2 linked regions of the Ovis aries genome follow. The protein of the gene in region 1 purifies or fractionates together with the protein of each later gene. This does not show direct contact. Links are inferred from orthologs where the notes say so. Each region holds a gene or a part of one and is shown on either strand. Other genes may lie near its edges. The genes, in order: PAK1 and GIT2.

Region 1 (3,820 bases):
TTGACCCTCTCCTGCTGCCATCTCTGGGAGGTTACTTCCACTGATGGCCCCACTGGGCCTGGGCACTGCTTACTCCTCCAGATGAAAGTGAGACCTCTTGGACCACATAGTTGCAGCCTGCCTTCCCTGGAAGAAACCCTGCTCTAATGAAGCTAGGGTGGGATGGATGGGAGAAATCCTGGGCCAGAACATCAGAGATCGCTATGTTTTTACACAAAATTCAGCAATTTTAAAATGATAAGCACTTCTCAGTAGTATATGTAGGCACCTGGAGGTTTCGGGAACATTCCAAGCATGTTCCCTTCTCAGAGTCTTTGTATCTCTTCCATTTGCCAGGAATATTCTTCTCCCAGAGGGTCTGATGGCTTGTTTTCTCATTTTGTTCTGGCCATTAAAGAGGCCTTTCCATGACTACTTATATCTAAGGTAATAATTCCTTACTTTCAATCAATCTCTACTCTCACATGTTTCTTACTACTACCTGGCAATTTAGTGATGAATTTTAAATATATCTTCTTCTAAAATGTAAGACATAGGACCAGGCACTTTATCTACAGTGAATCAGTGGATGAGTTGGAGTCACTTTTTAAAAAGAAGTTTGTGGTTATTAGCCATAATGATAATTTAATTGATTCCTTACATCTTCTTAACTGAGTGTTTTTATACCCACATCACGTCATTTCTTTCTCCATGTGGTCCCTTAAGGTAGGCAGAGAGCTTCTTGCCATCATTTCCATTTTATGGATGAGAACTTTGGCTTAAAGTGGGATACCCTTGGCAAAGGACACAGGGATAAGAAATAAAATTCTGCGAAAGAAACCTTTATCTCTTGATTCTGATAGTCGTTAATACAACCACCCAAAGCCATCACATGTGGAAACCAGAATGTGTTGCTACGGAAGGTGATGAAATCTCCTCCTCCACAGTTTTAGGAAGCAACACACTTGGTGTTTATAGTTTACAGTGGGTAGCCCTAGGGCCCCAAGAAGATGGAGAGGCTGCTGAGTTAACTTCATTCTCATTTTGGGTTCCTAGTTAAATTTTGTTGAGTGGAATATTAGGGGGAAAACAAATTAGAGTAGAAAAGTATCAAAATATGTGCTTTCACAGGGAAGGAGCTACTATTGGATTTTAGAACTGAAAGTGACTTAAGGGCACCCCTCTAATTATACCAGTCCTCACCTCCATATTCCTCAAGTAAATGAAACTTGAAGCTGAGAGGATGGATTCACTGCCTGTAGTCACTAAAACTAGTTGCTTATAAACGCCTGTCACTGGCAGTTTTTAAGTTACGTCCTGCACTGGAGCTCCTGTTAGAATCTATGAGGATGCCAGCTTTCCTTACTTAGTATGTCAAATGTGGTAAAGGCCACTCTCCCACACATAACTCTAGTATAATATTCAGCTAAATAAGTTCCTTCACTTATCCCACGTTGTTCTGACATTCCTCTCTCCAGCGGCCTCAAATGGCAGCAGAAGGGGAATTGTCTGTCCGTCTGTCTCCTGCATCAGATGGTGAGCTACTTTTAGGACTTGGACCATCTTTTTCATCTTTGTACATTTATATCAAAAACATCCATCACAGTATCTTACTGAGCACAAAGTAGATGGTCTGAAAATATCTGAAACTGTTGAATTATATCAATATCTACTAAAAGATCTCTATTGCTTCTCTGGTCCTATACTATAATCATTTAATCTCTATCAAAAATCTCATATTTTGGAGCTATTTTATCTCTTGAACATGTTTTATAAACAGTAATGGTATGATCTTTTTGCCTGGTCTTGCCCTGAAACCTGCCAGTCTTGGCCCAGCTTTGTTATAGTTTGCGTGGGAAAATCAAGTTTGTCAGATTATAGCAGATTCAATTAGTGGTGCTGGTAAGGGTCATTCCAAGACAGGGCAGAAGCTTAAGGATATAGGTAGCATCTGATCTGGGGAAAATCTCATTGCTTCTTGTGATGTTCGGTATCTGCAGGTTGAGGTGAGCGTACCTGATAGCATAAGGGATGCAGTATATTTTGGTAAAGAAGGAAAAGGAGAGGTAAAGACCTTTCAGAACTTCTATTTACCATATCAGAAAGGACTACAGAATTATAATGATAAACTTTGTAAAATTCTGAACTCTTGATCCCTTTCCTATATATTGTACTTTATCCTCTATTCAGCACAGAGTAAAATTCATAGAGAAGAAAGAAATATGAGCTTGTCCTCAGGGTTTGGTTTGGGGTAGGCAGGTAGAGAAGCTGTCAGTTGGTTTTCCCATCCACAGTTAGGCTTTGGGTAGGAGAAGGAAGCCCTCCAGGGACTGAAGGGGGAGTGGTAGCTAAAAGAAGGGGAGATGGCTGAGTTCCTGAGGCCAGCTCCAAAGGTGGAGAGATTGGAGGCTGATGTGTGTTTCAGAAAGAGTGTCAGGAGAAGGTTTCTTCTGGGAGATAGGTGGCCCTGGTAGTTTAAGTTCCGTGTTGGCTTAACCTAACGAACCTGGCTTTTGTCACTGTGCAGAATGTGAAGGCGGTGTCTGAGACCCCTGCAGTGCCACCAGTTTCAGAAGATGAAGATGATGATGATGATGCTACCCCACCTCCAGTGATTGCTCCACGCCCAGAGCACACAAAATCTGTGAGTCTTTGTGATTTATTAGAGTTTGGAGGTGGGGAGTAAGGGATGGGTGCCAAGGTCTAGAAGTTTAATACTCTGGTAGGGGTCCTGAGATTTTGGAGGTGGTGAAATAACCAAATTACCTTGATTGAAAGGTACTTTCTGTATGATTAAAGACAGGAAGTGGTGTATTTATTTTTATCATTGGTTTGCAGATAGTCCCAAGGTGTCCTGAATAGTTGGTCTTTGTACCAACTTAGCCCTACTTTCTTTACAGACAGGAAGATATACAGAATTAGTGTTACTTAGTGCAGAAGTAACATAAATTGTTCCTGTCTCCTAGGTAGCAACAAATTAGCCTGCTATAGATCTTTCTTCTCTGTTAAAGTCCAGTGTTCAGGCTCTTAAGACATTATTGATGATACTGAAAGACTCAAGAGAATTTGTAAAAACATTAGTGCTATTAATATCCTGGACATCAGGAGTGCATTTTGATGCTGGATATTGGCAGTAATTTTTATTTAACTTCCTTTGAGGTTGTTGCATTTCATAATAGCCATGGTCCCTTTGCCCTTACTTTGCATAATCTGCATTTTACATGTTTTAGCATCACTGAGCACTGATCTATCATTAGATGATACTACTAGTGTTTCTTTGTTTGGATTTTTTATTATGACAAAAACTTCAGAATGAAAAAATGATTTAGGGCTTAAACTCTGTGGTAATACAAAAAAGATTCTCTGAACTAGAGAATTCATGGAAGTATTCAAGCAGATGTTGGTTGACTGAGTATGGGAGATGCTGTGGAGACAATTCAAGGGGATTAGATGACCTTTTAGAATTATAATTTATAAGCAGAATCTGTGGAATCACCGCTTCTATAGGTTACAAACTCACTTTAAGGAAAATGAGCTTCAGAATCAGAGTTGTCCAGAGATGTCACATTGGAAAGGTTTTTTCGATTTGCAAGCATGTTCATTTAAAAAATTTTTTCCATTAAACCATGAATTCCTTACAAGTAGAGGAAATATATCTATATATATGTGTGTGTGTGTTTGCAGTGCTTAACATAGTTTTTAAAAGGTTTTAGAAAGGCAGTATTGAATGAACTGATAAATTTGATCTTCATAGCATTCCCCCCAAAAAGATACTGTTAATTCCTAATTTATAGAAGAAGAAGAAGATTTGGAGAGGTAAATTGATCTATCCAAAGTCTCT
Region 2 (3,820 bases), on another chromosome or scaffold:
ATTAAATTTTGGTGAAGGTACAGTGATAAGGGTCCATTCATAAATTTGAAGTCTCAAAATGTACAACTTCCTTTGACTTGGTGGGTCCATCTCTAGGTGTTAGTTGAGGAGAATTAGAGATGTTGTCTGTGTGATACATATTACACTGGAAACAATAATAGAGCAATTTTTAGTTTCATATTTGAATAGGGCACACTTTTTTCAGGGACTACGGAATGATGTAATATAAAATAATTAATTTTTTGAAGAAGCTTTAGTATCATCCCAATTTTGTAAGGAAAACATTTATGTACATGCATATGTACAAATGAATATCTTTATTTATCCCCATTACTCCCAGATCTCATATTTGCCAGTTCACCTGTTCATTAAAATTCATTTATTACCTTGAGAATTCCCTGGCAGCCCAGTGGTTAGAACTCTGGGCTTTAACTGCCAAGGGAGCAGGTTCAATCCTTGGTTGGGGAACTAAGATTTCTGCAAGTTTCATGGGGCAGCAAAAAGATAAATAAATTAAAAATTATTACCTTAAAATCTTACAGCACTTTGATGGTAATTTGTGGATCTGTACAGTGTGGTAAAAAATTTGAGTCACCCAAAACACATGTTCCCATGTGAGACTGAGCAAGGCCATGCTCTTCCTTTTATTTCAGCTCTTATACTGTAAGCAGGTAGCCTTTTTGATATTTATTTAGTGCCACAGTTTTTCACATTTTTTGATAATTTCACTGTTTAAAGTGGTCCCCAAGTACAGTGCTGAAGAGCTGTATAGCATTCCTGAGCACACGAAGGCGGTGACATGTCTTACAGAAAATACATGTGTTAGATTAGCTTTGTTCAGGCCTGAGTTACAGTGCTGTTAACCATGAGTTCAATGTTGATGGATCAATGATATATATTCAAGATGTCTTTAAACAGAAACGCATGTGAAACAAGGTTATGTATTTATCAGTTGACAAAAATGTGACCAGATGTTTGCAGGAACCTAACTGTATTTCCACTCAGAACAGTGGTTCAGTATTTGCTGATTTGTTCTTCACAGCAACTTTATAGACCGTGACTGCTACAAATAGTAAAATTTACTGTCTGTATTTGTATATGCTTGGGAAAAGACTGGCAGAAAATAGAATGACATGTATCAATAGCTATGAATGACTACTCTTATCATTAGTTTCAATTTTTCTATATTGAGTCCTTACTACTTCTGTAATCTGATGGTATATATATATATTACATATTCATTTTGAAAACTAAAATTCCCTTTGAGTAAACATAATTTATCACCCAGATATTATCCTTCAAAATTTCCATAAACAGTGTTGGAAATTTGAGGTTTGCTTGAGTTGCCTGAAAGAGAGATGAGAGACTTGGATAATTTGCGAAATCTTTCATTCATAATGTGTCAGAGCTGATAGAACCATCGCTACTTCCCAGTAACCATATGCTCTTGGTCTGCATGGTCTGTATCCAGTGGGTCATTTTCTTTCTCTCTCTTTCTCCCTGGCGTTCAGTTAAGGAAAGGCCAACGTGCCTATTCAGTGGTCTCCTAGTTTCTAGGCTTACTTTAGCAGTTTTCTTTCTGTTTTGACTTGATGTTAAATCCTGTAAAAGAGTTACAATTGTAACTGAATTACAGTTAATCGTACTTTAGTTACAGCTTTATTTTCGTGATTTCGAGCTATACTGTTTCCTTGAATGATTACAGATTTGGGAACCTGCCACCTTACATGAGCAGCTCTTCCCTAGCCATCTAATTCGTGCCCATTTTTGGCAGGTATCTCAGATGGTTGCTTCACTCTCTCTATAGTTTTCAGTAGACTCTGTCCGGTTGATAACGTGCTCTGTTATCCCTTTTGGGGGTGAATAGAACCTTGCTATTTCTGTCATTTTTCTTCCAGTCTTTTAAATGGCTCATTTTTCTTTTAGGAAAAAAGAAGTTCTTTTCAAGCCTGAAGTAAAGTTATTTGCTTCTGTTGACAGACAATGTAGAACTGATACTGAAAACAATTAGTAACCAGCACAGTGTTGAGAGTCAGGACAATGACCAGCCAGACTACGACAGTGTGGCGTCAGACGAAGACACGGATCCGGAAGCCACTGCAAGCAAGGCCCACAGGCAAAAGGTAAGGTGGTGCATTGCACACAGAAAGTGAGCTTATGTTCTTTTTCAGATCTTTCCTCCTAAAAATTTGCCTGATTTGTAAAGCATTCGAGGGCTAGGCCTGGGAAAAGTGCTCTGGAGGTAAAATTGGGTTTTCTACTAGTTTGGCCCAAGCAAAGGTCAACAAGGTAAATATTTTAAAGTTTTAAAATAGGGGGTCCCTTGCCCCTGAGTCAGTTGCTGACTCACAGCCCGGCTGCAGTATTAACTTTATAAAACCTATGAGGAGGGACGGGTGGGTTTTACTCTTTCAACAAATGTTTACTTTTGTTGGGTATTACCCAAACTTCTCTGGATAATACTCTCCTGAATGAGGGCTGGTCTCTTTCCTCTGTGAGGCCGTCCTCACCAAGAGGAGAGGGAACCGCGGTTCGAGGGTCATAAGTGCAGACAGGAGCGGAGGGGTGGGAGCAGGCGATCCACAGACACAGCCTGTCACTGACAGGGAGTGTCAGGGGAGGCTGAGAAGGCCCGGGACGTGGGCACGTGGAAAGGCAGGGAGGGGTCAGACTGAGCGGAGGTGAGACAGGCATCTGGGGGACGTCTGGTCACGTGGAGAGGCAGCCTGAAAGGAGAGGGAGTCTGAGCTGCGGCAGAGGGCGGGGATCACACCGTGCAGGAGCGTGACCCCAGACTGAAGAGCTGAGACCTTGGCTGGCAGCGCAGAGCCCAGGAAGCTTTTAGGCAGGGCGGGAACACCATGTCCACCTTGTTGGGTCCTCTGTTTGGGGAGGACCGTTCTGGTGGGTCAGGAGCGGAGGAGAGGAACCCAGGCAGGGAGGTGCCGACAAGGTCCAAACAAGAGCTGACGCAGGCTCACCTCAGGGCCTCTTCAGCTGGGAGGGTCTGGATGGAAAACAAAAGTCACCGTTGCAGAGAGTGAGCCCGAGGCCAGGGCAGCAGGGGCCTGGCTGGCCTGCCTACCGCTGAATATCCCTGACCTGGCCCACAGGGGGCTCAGCAAACACTTGAGAATGGGCAAACAGGAAGACAGAAAAGGCAGGGCTTGGGGACAAGTTAGACATTGGAAGTGGGAAGGTAGATTTACCCGAGTTGTGTCCGGAGTTTTCCAGCTTACACAGCTGTGCGGGTCAGTGGTGCCACCGGCAGATGCAGGGAACATGGAGGGGATGGCAAGAGTCAGCTGTCCCATCTGAAACATCTCCGCCAGTCTCCCCGGAAGTGCTGAGTTCAGTCGAGTGAAGGCGGGTCTTGACTGGACCCTGCACGACAGGGTCCCTGCACTGGCTAGCCTCCCCCTCCTCTGGGCCTTGCACACCCACGCCCTCTAGCTGAGTCCTACCACAGGCTGGAGCGCTGTCCTCCAGACAGCCACCTGACTAGTGACCTCCCCTCCTGCAGGCTGTTGCTCATGTCCCCCCACCCAGCTGTCTAGTTAAAATGCACCCACGTCCACCTCTCTTTCAGCTCCCCAGCCCCTCACTCCTCCTCTGTTCTGTTTATTTTCCATAGCACTTATCACATTCCCCTATACTATGTAGTTATTTATTATTATTTTTCTCCCTCTCTCACTCAGTTGGGATGTAAACACCATGGAAGCAGGAATCTTTTTCTATTTTCTTTTCTTATGTAACCTAAGCCCCTAGAACACTGCCTGATGCTTAGTAAAAATCTGTCAGAATGAGTGAAATAATGAAT

The links.
Region 2: the proteins of PAK1 (region 1) and GIT2 purify together in Homo sapiens (affinity purification with mass spectrometry; 5 studies listed by BioGRID and IntAct, with this or other methods). This does not show direct contact. The link is inferred for Ovis aries from reciprocal best matches to the Homo sapiens genes PAK1 and GIT2.

The regions. Positions count from the first base shown.
Region 1 is NC_056074.1:16,221,550-16,225,369, forward strand, and holds part of PAK1 (serine/threonine-protein kinase PAK 1), read left to right. Parts: intron 1-2,506; coding exon 2,507-2,623; intron 2,624-3,820. UniProt on the Homo sapiens protein: Protein kinase involved in intracellular signaling pathways downstream of integrins and receptor-type kinases that plays an important role in cytoskeleton dynamics, in cell adhesion, migration, proliferation, apoptosis, mitosis, and in vesicle-mediated transport processes.
Region 2 is NC_056070.1:63,467,194-63,471,013, forward strand, and holds part of GIT2 (ARF GTPase-activating protein GIT2), read left to right. Parts: intron 1-1,980; coding exon 1,981-2,123; intron 2,124-3,820. UniProt on the Homo sapiens protein: GTPase-activating protein for ADP ribosylation factor family members, including ARF1.